Arabidopsis thaliana: one gene and its partners. The protein of the gene in region 2 interacts with the protein of the main gene of each other region in a pairwise test. Each region holds a gene or a part of one and is shown on either strand. Other genes may lie near its edges.

What was found.
Region 1: the proteins of PIL6 (region 2) and RCD1 interact in a two-hybrid assay, tested with the Arabidopsis thaliana proteins (one study listed by BioGRID).
Region 3: the proteins of PIL6 (region 2) and TOC1 interact in a two-hybrid assay, tested with the Arabidopsis thaliana proteins (3 studies listed by BioGRID).
Region 4: the proteins of PIL6 (region 2) and AT4G37710 interact in a two-hybrid assay, tested with the Arabidopsis thaliana proteins (one study listed by BioGRID).

What each region holds. Positions count from the first base shown.
Region 1 is NC_003070.9:11,610,510-11,616,726, reverse strand, and holds RCD1 (WWE protein-protein interaction domain protein family), read right to left. Parts: upstream 4,610-6,217; 5' UTR 4,359-4,609; intron 3,990-4,358; 5' UTR 3,867-3,989; exon of another isoform or gene 3,415-3,866; 5' UTR 3,301-3,414; coding exon 2,177-3,300; intron 2,069-2,176; coding exon 1,821-2,068; intron 1,496-1,820; coding exon 1,416-1,495; intron 1,326-1,415; coding exon 1,167-1,325; intron 1,084-1,166; coding exon 988-1,083; coding exon of another isoform or gene 979-987; exon of another isoform or gene 896-978; coding exon 833-895; 3' UTR 509-832; downstream 1-508. UniProt on the Arabidopsis thaliana protein: Inactive ADP-ribosyltransferase that functions with SRO1 to regulate oxidative stress, hormonal and developmental responses. Required for embryogenesis, vegetative and reproductive development, and abiotic stress responses.
Region 2 is NC_003074.8:21,827,380-21,832,690, forward strand, and holds PIL6 (phytochrome interacting factor 3-like 6), read right to left. Parts: upstream 3,459-5,311; 5' UTR 2,803-3,458; exon of another isoform or gene 2,524-2,802; 5' UTR 2,517-2,523; coding exon 2,446-2,516; intron 2,325-2,445; coding exon 1,598-2,324; intron 1,517-1,597; coding exon 1,451-1,516; intron 1,358-1,450; coding exon 1,007-1,357; intron 930-1,006; coding exon 810-929; 3' UTR 526-809; downstream 1-525. Other genes in the region: AT3G59070 (Cytochrome b561/ferric reductase transmembrane with DOMON related domain-containing protein), read right to left, coding at 4,985-5,179. UniProt on the Arabidopsis thaliana protein: Transcription factor acting negatively in the phytochrome B signaling pathway to promote the shade-avoidance response. Regulates PHYB abundance at the post-transcriptional level, possibly via the ubiquitin-proteasome pathway.
Region 3 is NC_003076.8:24,673,111-24,679,065, reverse strand, and holds TOC1 (CCT motif -containing response regulator protein), read right to left. Parts: upstream 4,104-5,955; 5' UTR 3,527-4,103; coding exon 3,394-3,526; intron 3,077-3,393; coding exon 2,915-3,076; intron 2,779-2,914; coding exon 2,645-2,778; intron 2,495-2,644; coding exon 2,327-2,494; intron 2,243-2,326; coding exon 2,089-2,242; intron 1,996-2,088; coding exon 890-1,995; 3' UTR 516-889; downstream 1-515. Other genes in the region: AT5G61390 (Polynucleotidyl transferase, ribonuclease H-like superfamily protein), read left to right, coding at 30-264; AT5G61370 (Pentatricopeptide repeat (PPR) superfamily protein), read left to right, coding at 5,595-5,955. UniProt on the Arabidopsis thaliana protein: Controls photoperiodic flowering response. Component of the circadian clock. Expression of several members of the ARR-like family is controlled by circadian rhythm.
Region 4 is NC_003075.7:17,716,578-17,719,323, reverse strand, and holds AT4G37710 (VQ motif-containing protein), read right to left. Parts: upstream 1,197-2,746; 5' UTR 1,091-1,196; coding exon 719-1,090; 3' UTR 553-718; downstream 1-552. Other genes in the region: PSK6 (phytosulfokine 6 precursor), read left to right, coding at 6-134, 229-363. UniProt on the Arabidopsis thaliana protein: May function as negative regulator of flowering transition.

The DNA of each region.
Region 1 (6,217 bases), on a different chromosome or scaffold from region 2:
GCTCCAATCCTCTGTAATATGCAAGAGTTAGGCTCATCATCAATTCCTCGGTTTTAAATTCGTTTAAAGCTAAAATGCCGACTCACAACACAAACAAAAAGGAATAAAATAATGCTTCAGATTATAACCATGAAAAGAAAACAGCCAGAACCATTGTACTTTTGGGTGAACCACTCGGATCAGATTCCAAATCGCTGTTATAGAGAAAGAGATCCCAAACTGACCGTTTACTCTACTCCACAGAGACTCCATAAAATCGAACTGATTGGACCTAGAATATCGAGATATCCACTAGCTTCTCATCGTCAGAGGCCAAGCTTACTCAGTGCGCATCATATAGAGCTCTAAAGGGGAGGAGAGGACCAACACTATTTTCTCCTGGTATTCCTCTAGTCTTGATTTACCCGTAGTACACAAGTGTCAAAGGAACCCAGAGGTGACCAGTTATCATACTCTTAAATAATCCTTCACACAAATGTGAGGCATCTAATAAAGCTAACAGAATAATGAGAAAAAGTATAGTGAAGAAAAGTTTCACGCGATAGGCTTAACGACCAAATTTTCGTCAAGATTCAACGACTTCCACAACAATGTTTTGCTTGCAGCTAAAGAAACAAAGACCCAACGACATCATTGACTAAGTAGAATCATATAATATAGTACGATTTTTCACGACAGAAAGAAAAGTCGACACATTTTAAACTCTACCAACGACCCGACCCAAAACCAAAAGTCTAAAATTAGAAAAAGTCAAAAGGAGAACCACAAAGGCAGGTAGATAGATAAAAAGCAGCTTCCTTTTGATATTCGTCATCATCATCATCCACTTTACTTACAATCCACCTGCACCTTCTTCATGGTCTCTGATGCTTCCTGGAATCTCCTTCGACTTTGGCTGAAGTTAAAACCAAAAAACCTTTGTTGAGCATTTCCGTTTACAAAGTAAACTTATGATCAACAACAATATCTCTACTACTACTATCTTACCTGGTTTTGAAGGGTTGTTATGGTGGACCTTAGCAGATCATCTCCTACAATCACCCGCAGTTTCCTGACAAACTCCGCTCTCGTCATCTTCTTATCCTGCACAACAAATTTCTTATGTATTCCAGCTTATGCAATTACCAATCATAAAGCAAACTCTCAGAATCAGTTTTTTTCTATACCCTCAGTTGTTGGTAGTCAGCATTGATCAACAACATGTCGTTCTCTGCAACCTTATGTGAGATTGCTGCAAACAGAGTAGGAAATGGCATCCATGGAGATTTGGGTCTTGTAGTGCTTGAACCAACACTGTTTGCACTTCCTGAACCTCTTGCTCCCTGCTTTTTAAACACAACAACACCACATATAGTTGTTCAGTCCCTCTTCTTTAATAAGATCATACAAAGAAAAACTGAAGTAACCAAACTCACGTTTGACTCCAATTGAGGAGGAAGATCCTTAGGTCCTTCCAAAGTGACCCCTGAGTTATCACGCTTAGCAATCAAATTACCTGCAGAAACCAGTGTATGTCATCGGACTTCTAATACTACACAAAACATAATTTTGATGGATCGAAATACCCATTAAGGCGTGAGTATCACATCCGACCCCCGGATGATGAATCAGAGACTTGTCTCTTGAAACCCAAATGTGTTATAACACCGGAGGTCGTTAGGTTTATCATTATCACACATGGAACTTTTTTTTCTAAATTTATCAGTTGAGACCTGAGCTTCAGCCAGATCTCTAAGCTGTCTCCCTTTCAATGCGTCATCAGTTGATTTGAATGGGGGAAGATAGAATGTGAGGAACAAAAAAAAGAACAAACTAATCACCTTCAGCATTGGGGAGATTAGACAGCTTGAACCTAACAACAAATTCCGGGAATATATGTGTGTTCATATTGATGTTCCAGACAATGTAATTCTTTGGACTCTCAATGTCATCGACTCCATTGTCATATTCTTCTCCACCAGAAAAGAACTGAGCTTTATCACCACGAAGAAGCTCCATATTCCCCATAATCACACGGCATAAAACCATGTAACGTACTCCGTTTTCGTCAACATCACAGTATCTAGCACTGTAAACAAGTTCATAGTTAGTACTTGACACACAAAGAACCTATTGCAGAGGAAGGTAAAATATACGATCTAAACATGAAAAAAACAGATGAATACGAGGCAAATACCTGAAATAAGGGCAGTCTGCAGCGGTTAAATGGATCCCAACACCATAGATGGACTTTCTGATAAATGCTCCACCAACTCCAAGTCCTTGCATCATCACTGCTGATAAAACTTCCCTCTTTGCAGGAAGCCAGGCATACCTAACGTTTGCATCCCCTCGATGTTTCTTAGTGATCTCAACCTGCTTCTGGAAAAGTGCTAGACGAGCTTCAGCAATCTCACTGGAAAAACGGCCCACATCCAGCACTGGTACATGTCCTAGAGAAGCTGTGCCTACAGCAAACATTTTTTTTACTGCATCTTTATCAAGTACTTCGCTTCCCGTAAGCTTGGCACCAGAGACGACTATAGCATCAGTCTCATCCCATTTCGAAACAGCAGCTTCGAGCTTGCGGCTGCAGCTATCCTCCGTAGCCTCGTCATAGTGCTCATTTGAAGATCGTTGAGCAAGGGGAACATCGTCCATCATATTATCACCAGACTCATCACTGCACTCCTCCAAATTTAACCTCGGTGTCTCGCCACCATTAACATCAATCTCTAGGCGAAGTTTGATATCATGAGGAGCATTCTGTTTTGGGTCTTCCACACATTTATGATGGCAGTAATTGGTCCTTTCATCACTCTCATAAATTTCAGGGAAAAAGCACTTTCCTGCATTGTCAATCCATGCAAGAGGGGTTTTTGCTCCTGTTTCCATGTCTAGTCTTTGCATGTGCAAGAAGTCCAAAATAAAACTGTGACCGCATAACTTGAACTCAATTGCGGCGCTCTTTTCTTCTAATTCATTCTGGATGGCGCATATAACGTGCTCAGGCAAATCATTCCATTCGCCATTCTCATACATCATAACACGTTTAGCGATTCCAGTCTTCTTAAAATAAGTGTAATATCTGACCAGCGCCTTCCCAGAGCGATTCTCGTAAGCGCTAAGCTTGTTTTCACCTTCCAGCCTTCTTCTTTTGTCAGGAATTTGGCACTGCCCGTTCGGTGGGGGCACATTTTGCAGCTTTGCACACGAAACTCCAGTAACATATGCAGCATAGCTTGCTGCGCGCTTCCTCTTTTTTCCGAATCCATCTTCACACCTACTACTATCCAACACCTTGACGATCTTGGCTTCCATTTCTATATATTAACAATACTAAACCTATAACCTTGATAGAAAAAGTCAACTGTGTAACCTCTAAACTCCCTAGCAGTCCTAAAGATAGTGTCTTGCCGACAGCATTAGAAAACACTGCACAAAAGAAATGGAAAAGGCTTAAAATATTGAACAACTATATTACAGAGAATAGAGTCAAACAAAAACTCCTCACAGTTTACATGATAAAGAATCAGTAAACAAGAAAGAATCAGCATAACTATATGAGACCTATGATCCTGTAATATCATTCCTTCACAAAAGACATTTGCTACAATTTCCATCAGTAAGTAACATTATGAACAGTCTTTCATTACTTCTTGTTGTATCTTGTGTTATAAAGAGCACAAAGATCCATTACAAAGACGGAAGGTACAAATCAACCTACATAGGAATGAAGCAATAAGAAATGAACATCACACTCAACAAGAACGATCCTATGAGACACTAAAGATAAACACAGAAACAAACCAACAAAAACAAGTAAACCCAATCACCAACACAGAAAAATGAGAACAATAAACCCAAGCCATGAGCTTGAAACTCACCCAACAGTAACAGTTAGAGTCTGATAGATTACAAGTGTGTTCATCTTCTCCGTCATAAAAATAAACACAATCAGAGAAGAAATGCCACGTCTTTTTATAACAGCCGTCAGCAAGATAAAGTTCCTGCAACATCCAAACCAGCAACTTTTTAGCTTTCAATAAAAATTAAAATTCATCTCTCAAGTCAAAATAGCTCTGTTGCTTCACAAAATCCACAAATCGAACCAAATCAATCGCAGTTTCACTGATTTTCAAAATAAACTAAAATCAGAGACGAAAAAACACAGATCGTAAGCATAATCACACGAATCATCCAAAAACTCAATCAAAACAACACAAAACCACTCAAAATCAAACGAATCTAAGCCGATCTACAATCATCGACTTCAACAAAAAAAAACAATTCAAGATAAAAAAAAAAATCCTCAAATCGCATGAGAAGAATTGAAACAAAACGAAAAGAAACTGAACATGAACATGAACATGACGGACCTCTTTTTTCAGATCGATCGCAGGCAACAAGGGTAATCTAAAAGCAAAAGCTGACCAGAAAAAACGGAGGAAAAGGAGAAGATAAGATTTGCTTATAGAGAAAACCCTAAGCCGGCGATGACGACGAAGAAGAAACAGAATCGAAGAGTCATTTATATATAATCGGCGATATTGGAGAGATGATGAAGAAGAAATTCTTAAGTCGGCGGTTCCTGAGTTTTTTTCCTCTTTCTCTAACCAAAAATTTGCTTGGACGAAAAGCAAATCATGTGGGCTTTATTAAAGCTACAAGTCGGTCAGTCAACGTCGAAATCTTATTGGGTGGTGACTTAATTGAAGAGGCGGTCAATACACGCAGATAGATATGGTCGAATACAATAATGGAATAATATTATCATGAGGAGAACAAAAATATTACAATTAAATGTAACGAGGGCAACAATTATAAAATTGTTGAAATTAGAAAAGTGTGTATTGACGGAACATGATTGATAAGATTGTGAATCGATGAATAGACTAGGGGGGCCATTGGAATGGAGATAGCTATCGACATTGAAAAATATTTTCTTTATTGCGTACAAGGTCTAACAAAGTTTTAGTTGTATTGCAAGTGGCAAATAAAATTTTATTAGTTGAGGATAGTTTAGAAGTTTTTGAAAATATTATTTTACAAAGTTATAAGAATATTTAATCAATTTTTAAAAACTTTCTCCAGAAAAATGTTTGTTAACAAAAAATAATTTTCATTATTTCGATAGCCGTTATTTAAATTTGCCGCGATTATTTTTAATGGTTTTTATTTTTTCTGTTTCATTGCCGCGTTTATTTGTAATGATTTTTATTTTTCCGTTTTTCTATAAACAATACTACAATAGCATAAATTTTGAAGTGATATATGGTTTATAAGGGTAAGAATATTTAATCATTTTCAATACAGATAACTTTCAAAATTAGACATACTAAATGAGATATAAAAAATTCCATTGATATACTTCCAATAATTATCACATTTCTAAACTAGCAAAATTTATTTTATTTTAAAACATAGAAGATACGCATAATAGTCAATGAACTATTGACTTGGAAAAGATATCACCTTGGATATTAAGTCTGGACTTTTTGCGTAGTTTTCTTATAAAAAAACTATCAAAATTAAATTTCTACAATTATTCATTGAAAACACAATCTTTGGAAAAGGCTATAATTTGAAAACAATATTTGGAATTGGCTAATTTGAGGATGGATAAATAACATTTCGATTGGCTTAAGAAAGAACACTAGATCGATATCTCTTGGAGAGAGTTAGAACTCTTTTGATGTCTAGACGGATGAAGAATACTTAGTTGATAAATTGTACCTCGCAATTTTTTTCAACTTTGTTTTATAATGGGCCAGTTTTTATTTTTTGGGCTTTAGACAGCATATTAAGATGGACCGGCCGTGACTACGGGTTTAGTTGGTACCGAAAACGGCTGTCTTCCCAATCTTGTAAGATCTATAAAATTCAAGACTAAACTTTTATCATATACACGTTTGTACTATTCGGTGGAAAACCAAAGGATCTATATATACATGCATTCATGGGAATATTATTCTGTGTATGATATGTCACAGCTATATAGTTTGTGTAGCCATGGCTCATATTGAATAATGAAAATGTCACAACTATATAGTTTGTGTAGCCATGGCTCATATTGAATAATGAATATGTCACAACTATATAGTTTTTATATCTCTTATTTTTCTAGAATTTACCAACCTACGATTAGGCCTGTTACGGATCCGGATATCCGGGTTTTTTGGAGTATCCGGATCCGTATCCGTATCCGGCGGATATGTAGTTTTAGGATCCGCATCCG
Region 2 (5,311 bases):
TCATGCGATTTTCTCTTATCTGTTTCTTCCACAGAGATCAACGAAGATCAGATTCGAATGCGTAATTTGAAGCAAAACAATGAGAAACAAAATCAAAGAGCGATAGAAAGAGAGAGGCTCAGGAGTCGGGTCGCAGCTTTTTCTATTAATAATCGTGTTTGTTTTCAGAGTGCTGATTTGTAAGATGCTTATTGGTTGACTTAATTAATCACATTCTATACGTTTTTATTATTTTAGTAATTTTTTTCTGCTTCGCTTTAATCGGAAACCTACACGCTCGAGTATGTGATTAGGATAAACTCGCTCCTCTTGTAAGACACGTGTCACTTTAGAAGGACATAATCGGTAATTTGATTTCACCGTTAACTTGAGGAAACTAAAAATCGAGTAGGTATGGGACTCGCTAGTCGTTACGTACGAATCGTGGTGGAGTAAACCACGTTAGCGTTTTCCGTTTTTTGTATAACGTATGCGTTTTGAGCAGTAATATGGGTTAATGTTCATATTCATAGACCCAAAAAAGCCCATGATAATGTCAAATGCAGGCCTAGTCTATCCTTTTTATTTTGTTTTTCTGATGAACCTTGAGAACAAATATAAAAGTATTGACACATGTATGATCTTTAGGTTCCCAACACTTGATTGATACTATAATTCAACTGTTTAAAAATAAGTTATAAGTATGAGACTAACTTATTAGATCTCTATAATACATTTGACTTAGCTTTTATGCTTGCTTAGGCGACCAAAAATAAATAACAATCACCAACTGTAAGAAGAATAATTTCGGAGGAAAACTATATGCCAAGTCAGCCTATTTTACCCATATGAAGACTGTCGGTGGTCGCCGGTGCCGACAGTTGACTTTGCGGTCCCGCCGGAGATCCAAATCCCAACATGTCCGCTGGTTGTTGTTGCACGGTCTGCATCTAATTTAAAACATGACACGTCAGATATTAAATAAATATATTTGTCTTTCTTCAAAACGATGCCGTCTGCAACTGACCTGATTTCCCGCCGGCGGCATCTGGGGAATCCCGCCCATGTACCTAGCGAGCTGCTCCGATAAGATTTGGTTCTGTGCTTGGAGCTGCAACTGTACCGGGTTTTGACATACTAAACCGGGATGGTTCTGCGGAGCGGACCGGTTCATAACCGGGAATTGAGACAATTGCATCTGACTTTGCATAGCCATCTGATTAATGTATGGAGATGATTGTACCCCGGGAAACATCATCGGACTTGCTGCTGCTGCTGCCGCCGCCGCCATTCCACTTCCCATCCACATCACTTGGAGTTGCATTTGAAGTGATTTTAAGTAATCAATTGCTTCATCCAATATCGAAGCTTTATCTGTCTACACAAAAAAAGAAGAAGACAAAACCATATTTAAACACACCAATCAATTACAGCTTAATTAACTCAGTTTTTTTGTGATGAAAAAACTTACTCTGCTGCAGTGAGGTATGAGTTCTTGAAGAGCTTTCATTCTTTCATTGATCCGATCTCTCCTCCTCTGTAATTAATAGACAAAGATCACATCAGAATTATTATTACTGAATGGTTGATCAACTAGTCAGAAATAGTATATGTATACCCTTTCTGAGAGATTATGAACTTCAGCTGCACGGCTTCTTCGAGTAGATCCTGACCGTTGGCTCGATTTGTTACCCATGGTTTGATCATCGGTTGAGGTCAAACCTATATCTGATTGAGACACAGATTCTTGATCAGCATCCATAACATGTTTTCTTTTACGGTCAATGGTTACACTTGTTCCACTAACGGTTTCTTTGTTGTTCCTTCCATAGCTGCAACCGGAGGAGCCACCTGACGAAGTGTCAAGTCTTTCTTCGACGTTCTTGCTTCTATCACTCATAGAAACCGGAAGTGTAGTGGCCTGATGAATATTTGTTGACTGGTTGCTGCCGCAATGACTCGGTCCGACTGTTATAACCGAGGATCTAAACTTAGGAGGAGCCATGGCTTGAGCCTCATGCTTAACTGTCTCTTCGATCGTTCGTGGCTTCTCAGGACCTCCGAGGTGATCGATCGAAGAGAAGAAATGAGAGGAGAACTCGGATTCGAAAGGGTCGATGACGTCATCCGGAGGGTATTGTATCCAGGAGACGGTTTCTTGATCATCTAGAGCAGCGTAGTTAGGCTTTTGTACTGTTTCTTGGTTGTCAAGAAAAATATTGTTGGGTTTTCTTAGGGTTTCTTGTTTGTGGGTTTGGACTTGGACTGACGGTTCTCTACGAGCTTGGCTTTGTAAAACCACTTGACCATCTCTCCACAATAGCTCCACTAATTCATCTTCTGGTCTGTCCCAACATATGAATGTTTACAAACATATTTTAAACAAACAATACTTAAATAGCTATGATTAAGATGTGAAATTGGTATATAATTATGAAATACTTGAATTGGAAAATTGATATATACCTGATTGATCTTTTATTAGTGGACATGTGAAAATTATCTTCAAAATTCCAATCAGCAAACACTTGTTCCATGTCAGATCTGTAAAGACACTTAAATAAAGAATATATTACTTTTTTGTAAGTGAATAAGAAATGATTTGATTCATAATTAGTATAATGATTAACAGGAGATTTGAGGAAAAAGGATGATGAAAGCAATCAACTTAGAAAAGATTATTCGAAATCCCAACAGTTTAATGATTAGAAAATAATTAAACCAAACAACCCTCTCCAACAATCTAGGAGGAAATGATTTAATAAAGCAACTAATTCTATATATAGTAAACTCTTACTAAGGGGAAGCTATAAAAGTAATTACCAGATTTAGAAGCCTCTGAATGGATGGAAGATTTAGCTATATCAGTTTTTTTTTATTGCTTCACACGTAACAAAAATCGAGCAAGGAGGGACAAAAGAAGAACAAAAGATTCTATCTCCAAAACCTTCTCGGTTTTATCTCTCTTCTAGATAGGGAATTGTTCTGAAACTGAGGGAGTAAAGTTGAAACAGAACAGTAACACAGAGAGAGAGAGAGAGAAAGAAGAAAGAGAGGCTAAGGTTCTTCTTGCCAGGTTCAGACAGAAAGGGACAAGAGCTAGAGGAGGGAAGCAGAGAGATTATTACGGTAAGTAAGCGAGTGAGCGAGGGGGAGATAATGATTCGGTGGGGGCAATAGTACTGAAACTGATCAGGATGACCGACACGTGGCGAATTGTCAGACAACTAGTTAAAGAGTTAGTGAGACCCACCAACTCGGTTGGATTTTGTCTGTGAAGTTGAGAGAGATCTATTGCTCGATTTCTAGAGGTGGGTTTCTGATCTGTACCTTATCTGCAACACTCTTTGAGTCTTGACCAATGATTAAGGGTGTTTTTGTCAAATCATAACACCCCTCTTATGCTTCTCTTTCAGCGAATAGTATCTCTAATAATGGTAAACAAAAAACAAATTGAAGTTCTCTATTTTCTACGATGCTTCGATGAGTTTATATCATCATCTACTATATGAATATATGAACCGTTTTATAATCATCTGAATTCAATTTCATGTCAGAGTCTCATTAAAACCCGAGCGGAAATAATCTTGAGAAGTCATCATTTTTTCCCCCGGCAAATTTCCACATCGCATTTATTTCACGTGTTGACTAGTTAAAGCTACCATCGTAAGTTTTTGTGTTATTATCATTCTCTAAACAACTGCAAGTTTATACATATAACTTTTAGTTGATTGTGAATTTGGAATTTATTAATTATACACAAAATTTTGGATATTAATAACAGTTTTGAACCTAAATATGCAATCACAAATTCACAATGTCGTAATAAACCGTGGACCGTTGTGACTTGTTTGTCATGGACCACAGACAAACAATGGTCCACCAAAATTATGATCACATTAATTTCCGATCCTTATCACAATAATTTAACAGTAGATCAGTTTCTAACCCTTATCACATCAATCTTATCGTTTAATGTGCATAACCCCTACCGATCTAATGATAAACAAACATATTATTAGTATGATAAATTCATGAATATATTACATTGCAACTTACAAGTAGACAGACAGACATATATAGTGGGTGCATTTGTGAAGAAAGCATCCACCGAAAGGAGACATTTCCCTTTAAAAGTCTTTGGCCCTCATTTGCTTTTTCCACGAAAGAGACGAGGTCGTAATAGCGTCCATTCAAGGCTATAGAAGGCCATGAGCCAAGTAACTCAGTTTTTGTTTCCAGCCATAGAAATAGTAATTTAGTGCAAAATATGGAATTTAAATATGAGTAGTTTAGTGAAAATTGCTGAATAATAACACTTTTTCTTCCGTATGCAAGTTTTTTTTTTTTTTGATAAATTATTTTGTATGCAAGTTGCTATTTGCTAGTTGGATGAATTAAGTTGATAGATAGATTCGTTCGTCGTGGACGATACATGTAAAACGTTGTTATCCCAATCAAGCAAAGAGGAACACGGTTACACAGATGCCAGCCATAAATCATAAAACCCCAAAACCCTTCGATTGCTATTTTATTTTTCTTATAATTTTTGTTTGCATTTGACTCAAATGATGTCGTTGTATTTGAATTTATAACTCATGTCGACATATAAGTCGTCGCCTAGTTGGATAATTAATTCCATCATCTTCTAAACCGATATATGAATTAATTCTATGCATATACATTAGATTTCGACGAAGGAACGAATCTATCAATCATCATTGATTAAGGAACCATATACATACATTAAATATTTATGAATATGCATATTCATAGGATGAAGATAACATCACATTAAATAGAATGACATTAGCAAATTGAATTTATCAGAAAAGGCCCAAAAGTTTTAAGTCATGTCATATAACAGATATTGTACTGTGTTGTGGAGATGCGTTATTGGGCCTAAGATACGGCCCAGTTTAGTCCGAAAAATACAAATTTATCAGAGAAAAGGGCCGAACAAAACGTCAAAACCCTAACTCTATAAGAGACCGTTCTGAAACATTCAGGCGGCGGTGGCGGCGATGGAAGTAGACGGATGGTGGTAGGAATGAAAGGCTAGAAGCGGCGGAGAAGTATGTGGATAAGAAATAACAAAAACTGAGGGGATCATGAAGTTCTTCGTTATATTATAGTTTTCAATCTGAATTTCAATTCCGCCGCTCGCCTTTTTCCTCTCCGCCTTTTCCGTCTCTCCGATCTGCTCCCGCCGCCGACCTTGTGATGATTATAGCTCTGAAGGTCCATACAAGGATATTCAAATCTCACTTCTTGTAGAATAGAAATTTCGAAAGTTATTATTGAATAGAAGAACTTTTATTAGTCAAGATTG
Region 3 (5,955 bases), on a different chromosome or scaffold from region 2:
TTTTCCTGATTATTTCTTTGTATGTGCAGTATACCCACAGAGTTAAATGGAGATATAGATCGGTACGCAGCTGAGATACACCAGAAAGAGTTCTCTGGAGCTACTGCTACTCAGAAACTCATTTCTAGCAACCCCAAGGCTGAAGAGATTGAGTCTTTGTTGAATCCGAGAACTGTTCTTGACGCTTTCTTGTCTCTGGAGCCATATGATTATCAGCAGAGAGCCGGAATCCGTCTAGTTGCTAGAAAGCTTGTTATACATTAGTGGACCTTACTCAATAGCACCACAGAGAATTAAAGAAATCAGAGTTTAGTGGACTGTAGAGATTTATTTATGTAGTCATGAAAGAAACACAGAACTGTTGTTCCTGACAGTAGATATACAGCTGATTATGTTCTTAGTTTCAGATAACTTAAATCCAAATTTAGATTTTCATATGCTTCTTGTCTGTGACACAATTGCATTTGTATTGTGTTTTTCCGAGGAAAGACAGAAGCTTTAGTGGTGGAAGACATGGAGCGATTATATATAATTATATATGTAAACACAGGTGAGAGAGCGAGGGAAAAACAAGATTCAAGTAAATGATACTGGAAGGAGAAGAAAGGTTAATACATCTGAGTACTTACTGAGAGAATGTGAGTGAACATGATAAAATACATTATATGTTTATCAACGAACTAAGCTAAACCCAATGAGAGCTTTTCAATGCTCTGTCAAAAAGTTGAGCCGCAAGAGCCAACATTGCCTTAGAGACAACTCGATATTCGATGTTTTTTTGGCTGTAGCAGTATCATCTTTTTCGTGTCAGTCGATCAACATCTTCTGTTGTTTGATAAGATGCAAGCAAATACGTATAACACAACGGTTTTCAGTTCTTGGTGTATCTTCAAGTTCCCAAAGCATCATCCTGAGGAGATGAATCCCGGTTCTCCTCTTCTTCTTCTTCTTCCTCCTCTTCCTCGTCATCATAGTCAGCAGAGTCAGGCTGTCCATTTAAATCAACATTCACGCCGTTCATCTTCCTAACAAACTGACCCTTAACGCGGGGTCTCCTCTCAGCAAGGCGTTTCCTATTCACATACCTAATCTTCTTATCAAAACAACGTTGGTTCCTTTTACGTCTGAATTTCAGCAGAGCTTCCTCTCTTCTGTCAAGTTTATTTACCCTCACCTCATTAGAAGGCGGATTTCCTGCCGGTGACCAAGAATGATGAACCATAGACATCTGACCATTCTGTAAAGACATCTGACTATGCTGCAAAGATGTGTTCATTGGGTGGTGGTAGTAAGGATATCCCGTCATTCCATTCGGATGATTTGGTTGGCAATGAGGAATTTGATGACCATATTGAGGCATCATGGCTGCTGATTGCATCATAACTTGGTTCATGACCCCATGCATATAGTAAGGATAGGCATTTGGTGCAGAGAAACCCGATCCATCAACTTGAGACGAATCTTTACTTCTGTTCATAGCAACTTGGGGAATATTCATATTGCCCTCTTGGTAGTTCCTACCATGAGATTCCATTGATGTGGGAAGCGTGCGTGACCGCTCAAGGGAATGTGGATAGCTGGCGCCATTCTGCAAGGTCTCTCCTTGAGAATGGTATTGCTCGGTCCCTCTACTTCTGTGTGCTTGTTTGGTGTTGTTGATCCCTTCACTAGCCACCACTTGAAACTTTTCCGCCGCACCCCGATGAAGATGATGTGAGCCATTTCCATTGACAAGAGGAGGATCCTGACCGTTAGTTCTAAGGACAGTAGATTTTGGTGTTGCTCTGCGTGCTTGTTTGGTGTTGTTGATCCCTTCACTAGCCACCACTTGAAACTTCTCCGCCAAACCCCGATGAAGATGAAGTGAGCCATTTCCATCGACAAGAGGAGGATCCTGACCGTTAGTTCTAAGGACAGTAGATTTGACATATGTAAAGAAAGCAGAGGACTCTCCGATCTTCAATCTACTTTTCTTCGGTGCTGAAGAAAATTGCGCTGCAAAACCCCTACTATATTAGAATTCACTAAAACAAAGGTTCTTTTAGAGACTAGCTATTAGAAAGTGAGACATCAAAGAGAAACAATCACCTGGATTACTATTTCTTTTCATTGGCTCATGGTGAGACCCAGCAAGATGATCCAATGGAGGCTCTATAGCAGTAACAGCAAGAGAAGAAGTGGCTGTTCCATCAGCACCAAGACCACCATCACGAGCATGAACAGGAGCAGTAGCAACAGACCACTACCAGCAAAAGCATGAGCGCAAGCTAAAAAATCAGTTCTTCTCCATTTTCAGAGGGCTTTAAACTGTCAAATACTTTCTCACCTCATTTTCCTGGTGACTTAAATTTCCTCTCTGTGGGTTGGTGGACCTAAGACTTCTATCATCTGTGTCGTCAGAGAACAGGTTGGTACTATTTGTGTTTGGATCACTTTGATCAGATCCCACAAGATCAAAATCATAGCTCAACATATTCTTCTCAGCAAGTCCTAGCTGCCAAAACAAATATATGAAATCAATAGCATTAACTTCATGCATCAAGGTCTTTTATTTCAGAAGACGACAGATTGAGAGATATGGCTATCAAGTATTGCTCAAAAACAGTAAGATAAATAGAGAGAACTTGAGACAAGCAAAACAAACCATGCGTCTTCTTCTCCACATGTGTGTCCACAAGTTCAGAAGCTCGTTGGTGCGAAGAGGCTTCACAAGGTAGTCAGCTGCACCTAGCTTCAAGCACTTTACAACGACAGGGACTTCGTCTTGCCTCGACATCACTTAAATTGAGAATATTATAAGATTAGTCAGTATAAAGCTAATGATCATGCTGTCAAAAGCACTTTGATAAGCAGAGAAGATACAACTTCACGAATAGATAATAAAACGAGAAGAGCAACAAAGAACACAGCTTACTTATCACAGGGATTCTGCGAAGATCTTTGTCTCGTGTGATGTACCTCAGCATCTTCATACCCTTAGCCATTGGGAGATCAATTTCCGCCAGTATTATATCGATATCAGGTCCCTCTGCATTAAGTGCATCAATCACCTGCCTTGCTGATTTCACTGCAGTCACTGCATTCCAAAAAGAATAAAAACAATTCATCCAATATATCATCATTGAGTCTTGAACAACAAACAGTTGAGCATAGTGTAAAAATAGAAAGCAATACACACTAGAGATGCATTCAAAAACTATCAATAAGGTACTAAAATCAACAAAGGTTAAAAATGTCATCTTGATCACATCTGACCATACTGACTCAAAAAGCCAGACGACAAGAACCTATAAGAGATCTGCAATCTAAAGTAGTAATCCCAACTTAGCAAAAAATAACAAAGTAAAAAGAGAAACTTTGGGAACAAGACAAGGACAAACCTATAAATCATACCTTGATAAGAACACTCTGAAAGGAGAGTAAAAACCTCTCCCAAACTCGTGGAATCATTGTCACAAAGCAAAATCCTGACTCTGCTTCTATCAATAAACCCATCTCCTCCTTTACACTCACCGTTCAAATCCATGATCAGATTAACAACTAAACCCACACAAAAAAAATATCTAATCACAGAACCTAAGAAAAAAAAGGATTATACAAAAGTAGAAGAAGTAAAGCCGACAATAGTAAGTGCTATGATACTTCCATGGCCAAATCAGAACTAGGGTTTTTCGGTACAGTGTCCCTACAAAGTCGCCTAATTTATCCCCTTAACAAAGTCAAGTAATCTCACAACCAAACAAAAACTACTCTTTTAATCCCCCAACCTAATCCTTTATCCATAAGAACAAACAAAAAGATAAATCTAAGAACAAAGAGCTGAAATAGGAAATTCTTTTTTCTCTATATCGAATCATGAATCAACAAAAAAGCTCAACAAAAGTCACCGGAGATCCGGCGTAACGCCGGCGGTGAGATGAGGAGGAGAGAGAGAGAAGGTGAATTTCCGACAAGAAGAGTGAGAAGAGAAAGAAGACTCATTGTTTTGTTTTGTCAATCAATGGTCAAATTATGAGACGCGAAAAAGAGAGAGAGAGATGGTAAATCAGAGACCGTTGAAAGAGGATAGAATTGGACGGTGGAGATTAAGTCTTTTTCTTACGCGTTGTTGTGTAGCTTAATGGTGGGACTTGGGATATTTTAGGCCAAGGAGATGACGTGGACAATAAAAAGTGCAGGCCATAAAAAAAAAGGTTGTGTTGGATAGTTTGGTTGAGATAGAGAAAAGGCCACGTCATCTTGGAGAAAATATCTCATGATATTTATTTTTGTTTTTGATATTATTGTGGTAAGATACAAGATAAGAAGATGCATCTCCATATCAAAATCAACAAACATATCAAAAGGTCGACAGAAAGAAAAAATTGCAAATTCTTTTAAAATATATGACCAGATCAGACCAAACCATCAGAAACCAAATTTTAGGATTCGGCTTCGTTTCGTTTATTAAAATATATTTATAACAACAAGAAAATCTATTATCAGAATTTTATTTTTCTGTTATCTTTAGGTACTGAAGAATTAAAGATACAAACAAAATAAAAATAAAAAACGAAAGATACAGATATAGAAAATTTTACTTTTATTACATCTCAATTTCTCATCACAAAAGACTCCTAAAAATTATGATTCTTTCTAAAAGCACAGGGTTATAGATATAACACTCCTTTCATGGTTGTTATAGAGGACTTATTTAGGCATTATGATTCATTAACTTCTTAAAGTGATTGAAAAATCAAGCTAAATGATATGTTGTAACAAAGTTTCAAGTGTTTTTTTCTAATGTTATAAGTGTATGTGTGCAAATTGTCTTGTAAACAGGACATTAGCAAGATGAAATATTTACCTTCTTAGCAAAAAAGATGGTTAATCTCATCATCAGTGGTTGGGAAACAAATAATCAAGTTGTCATAATCATAAAAAGAGATAATTAGTAGGCTAAACTTTTATATAGAAAGTAAGTAGTCGACAAGCTAAAATATTTCGTATTACCGATTGGCTCATATTAGTAGCTGCGAATATCGTTAGTACAAGTGGACCAATAATGCATGATATATTCTCAACTTCATCCACCGTAAGACACGTTTTGTCCCGGTCCAACTTTTATTACGTTTTGCCATCGACCATTGACCAATAACTTGTTTATGACTTTATGATGTTAATTATTCGTGTAATTTCAGAACTATTTTATCGGGAGTTCGATTTTCCAATATGCATCGGCGGCCTTCGAGAGTAATCATTCCGGTTAGTGACTTATAAGTTATAACCATCGTATCTCACGATTATCGGTTTTATCCGGTTCTGAATTTGAAGCGTGATGGAATGTAAAAGACTAAAATGCCCTTTTCAGACACGCGGGCAATGTTTCCAACAAATGAATATATATTGTTGTTGAGCCGAGCGATCTCATGAAATCTGCAAATTTAGGTCTTTTAATAGAAATCTGAATTTCATGTTGCTGAAAGAATTTACAACGAAGTTGTAAATACTCTGAGAAACATGTAAGTCAGGAGAGAGTCCCTTCTATGGTTTATATTTGGCGGCTTTTAAGAAGCATACGCATATCAAGTGTTTGATGAAATTCCTCAGAGAAGATGATGTCCACCACAGTCAGATTAAACAGGTTTACGTATCTAACGAGTACTGCAAAACTGACACGTTACTTTTGCTCTCACCATTTAGTTGACCGATCGGAAACGGCGTTGCATGAAGTTATTCGGATAGTTTCTTCTCCAGTTGGTGGTCTAGATGACCTTGAAGAAAACTTGAACCAGGTTTCTGTTTCTCCATCATCAAACCTTGTTACCCAAGTGATTGAGTCTTGCAAGAACGAGACTTCACCGAGAAGGCTGTTGAGGTTTTTCTCCTGGTCGTGTAAAAGCTTGGGATCTAGTTTACACGACAAGGAATTCAACTATGTCCTAAGAGTTTTGGCTGAGAAGAAGGATCACACAG
Region 4 (2,746 bases), on a different chromosome or scaffold from region 2:
ACAAAATGGCAAATCTCTCTACTTTGATCACGATAGCTCTCCTCCTTTGCGCCACCATGCTAACGTGCAGCGCCCGCCCTGAACCTGCCTACTTCGCCTCCTTCACAACCTCTCCGGCGGATACACTTAGTCTGGTTAGTATTATATGCGTAAACACATGTTGAATGTTGATTCATGCGTAGTTATATATTTTCGTTTGTAATTTTATGTTTCATTGTGTTTCATCAGGAAATGATAGAATCAAAATTACATGAGGTGGCGGGAGAGAGCTGCGATAAAGAAGACGACGAAGATTGCTTGGTGAGAAGAACATTGACGGCTCATCTTGATTATATCTACACACATAAGAATAATCATCATTAATTAGCTGTAAAATTATTCTAACGTTAATTGTTGTGAATTTCAAATTATTCTCACATGTTAAACATGTGTATATAGAATCATTGATTAATTCAATTTATTCTTTTAATGAAAATATCAAATTATTCCCAATGTAGTTAGAATCCTTAATCAATCCAATTATGTTTTATTTTAATCAAAAGTCTTAACTCCCACAAATTATGTGTGTGTTACAGATAAATGACATAACAAATTAATTCTAGAATGCGAGTCTGAAAAATATATGATTACATCTTTCTGGTTTATTAAAAACAAACTAAAAATAAATACAAGAATGTTAAGCATTTCAATCAAAAGAAGCATTTTGCAAGAGTAGAAGCTACCATCTGGAAATATTTGCAGGATTTTGGAATGAGAAATCTCCCCAAGATGATGATGGATCAAACGCAAATGACGAAGAACTCTGCTTTGCTGCATCATCCGAAGTCTTGAGCGGTTTAGCCTGCACAGTCTCGTGCTCAGGTGCACCGGTTAGCCTCTGAACCAACACTTTGAAGTTTACTGGCTCGACTCGGTAGACATGAGGATGCATTGGATTCAAAGGTGATGATATTGCAGGCCTCTTCAAGGGCTTTGAAGGTTGTTTACGTGTCGAATGGAGCGAAGTTAGGTAATTTTTCGTTGCCCTTGTGGTGGTTTCTTGAGCGTTAAGGTAACTCTGAGACATAAATTGTTGTGATGTTGCTTCCATTGAGACTTGAGATGTCGCTTAAAATTCTTTGAATGTGAAAGTTATGTTCTTCTGATATTTATTGATCTTTGAATGTGAAAGTTATGTTCTTCTGATATATAATGATGGATGTGCAACATGTTCAACGAGGGTCAAGCCTTTGGTTTTTGACTCTTATTAGGGAATTGACTATTGAGAACATTGTTTGTTTTTCTTAGTTTTGTTTATGAGAATCATAAGTGAAAGGGGAATTTTCAACGTGTGTGTTCTTAATATTTTATTGATTTGATAGTTTTCGAAGTTTCTGATTAGGATTAAACTATTAAGAGGAAGATTCTTTAATCAAACTGAATTAATACTTTATCAAATATTATAATAAAGAAAGCTGTGGCTGTCCACGTGACGGTTTGATATTATCTGTAATGGTAAGAAGATTAAGTACTTATCAATAGCCTTCGGATTTGAATCTAATCGGATTCCTTGATCTTTTTATTTTATTTACTTTTATAACAAGTAATCTATTAGCCGTAACAAAAAAACAAACTAATCTATTATTTTGATTTCTAGTAATACAGTGCGCATAAGAGTCACGTCAGTCGGAACGTTAGAGAAAAAGGTAAATTTGAACGTTACATAACGGTAACTCTTTTGGTTTATTTCTTTAACTACGATGCTCTAGATATCTTTCAGATTTAAAACATTTGAGATATATATATATTTGGAAGAGGTCACATAAGATGATAATAACAAAGAAGCTTAACCTCTGTTCTCGTGGTTATTTGATTTGGTAGATTAGTCTTAAAATTGTCTTGAAATGGAAAATAAATTAGGCAGTCTTGAAAGAATCTACTTGAATTTAATTGTTCATATTGATATATAGGAAAAATAACAATCCTAGTTCTGTTTTATTAAGAAGATTAGTTTCTTTGAAAAACTAAAATATATGTCTGAAATGGATATTTGGGCATAAAGGTTTTTATTTTATTTTTAGATTAGTATATGATACTTGCATGATTATGTTGCACATAGTTTTCTGAAATTCAGAAGGCGTTGTAATGAAAATTTTGATTTGATTTTTGCAGGTTTTTTAGAAGAGCATAAACTCAACCGGAGTATGTAAAGAAAACGCCTTGATGATGAAAGTGATGATGTGCAGATGGAGTAGTGATGGAAGGAGAATGTCATAGAAGAGAGAAATCTAAATGCATCATTGGGATTGTGCCGTGCCATACTTTGATTGAGTGTGGAATGTGTATATATCAGATGTGTGACGAATGCTTGTAAAATATATTGATTCAAACTATATATCAAACTCAAGAATAAGAACAAGATTATGAATAAAAGACTCTCTCTTTTATTGCTTTAAGAAAATAACTCAAAACCTAAAAACACACAATCTTAATCTCTCAACTCATAAGTTTTGCAACACTCTTGCAACTCCTTTATATAAGAAAAGAACTAGACAATTTCCTAATCCTATTAGGAAAACACACATAAGTATTTAGGCAACTTCCTAAACACAAAGTCTAATTTTAATTTCCTTTTTGCTTGATTGCTTCTTCTTCAAGTAAGCTTCAAGCTTACTCCAACATTTTCCCCCTTAAGCTTGAAGCTACACTTTGTCATATCTTGAACTCCCACAAGATCTCTCATCTCTTTGAACTTGATTCTCCCGAG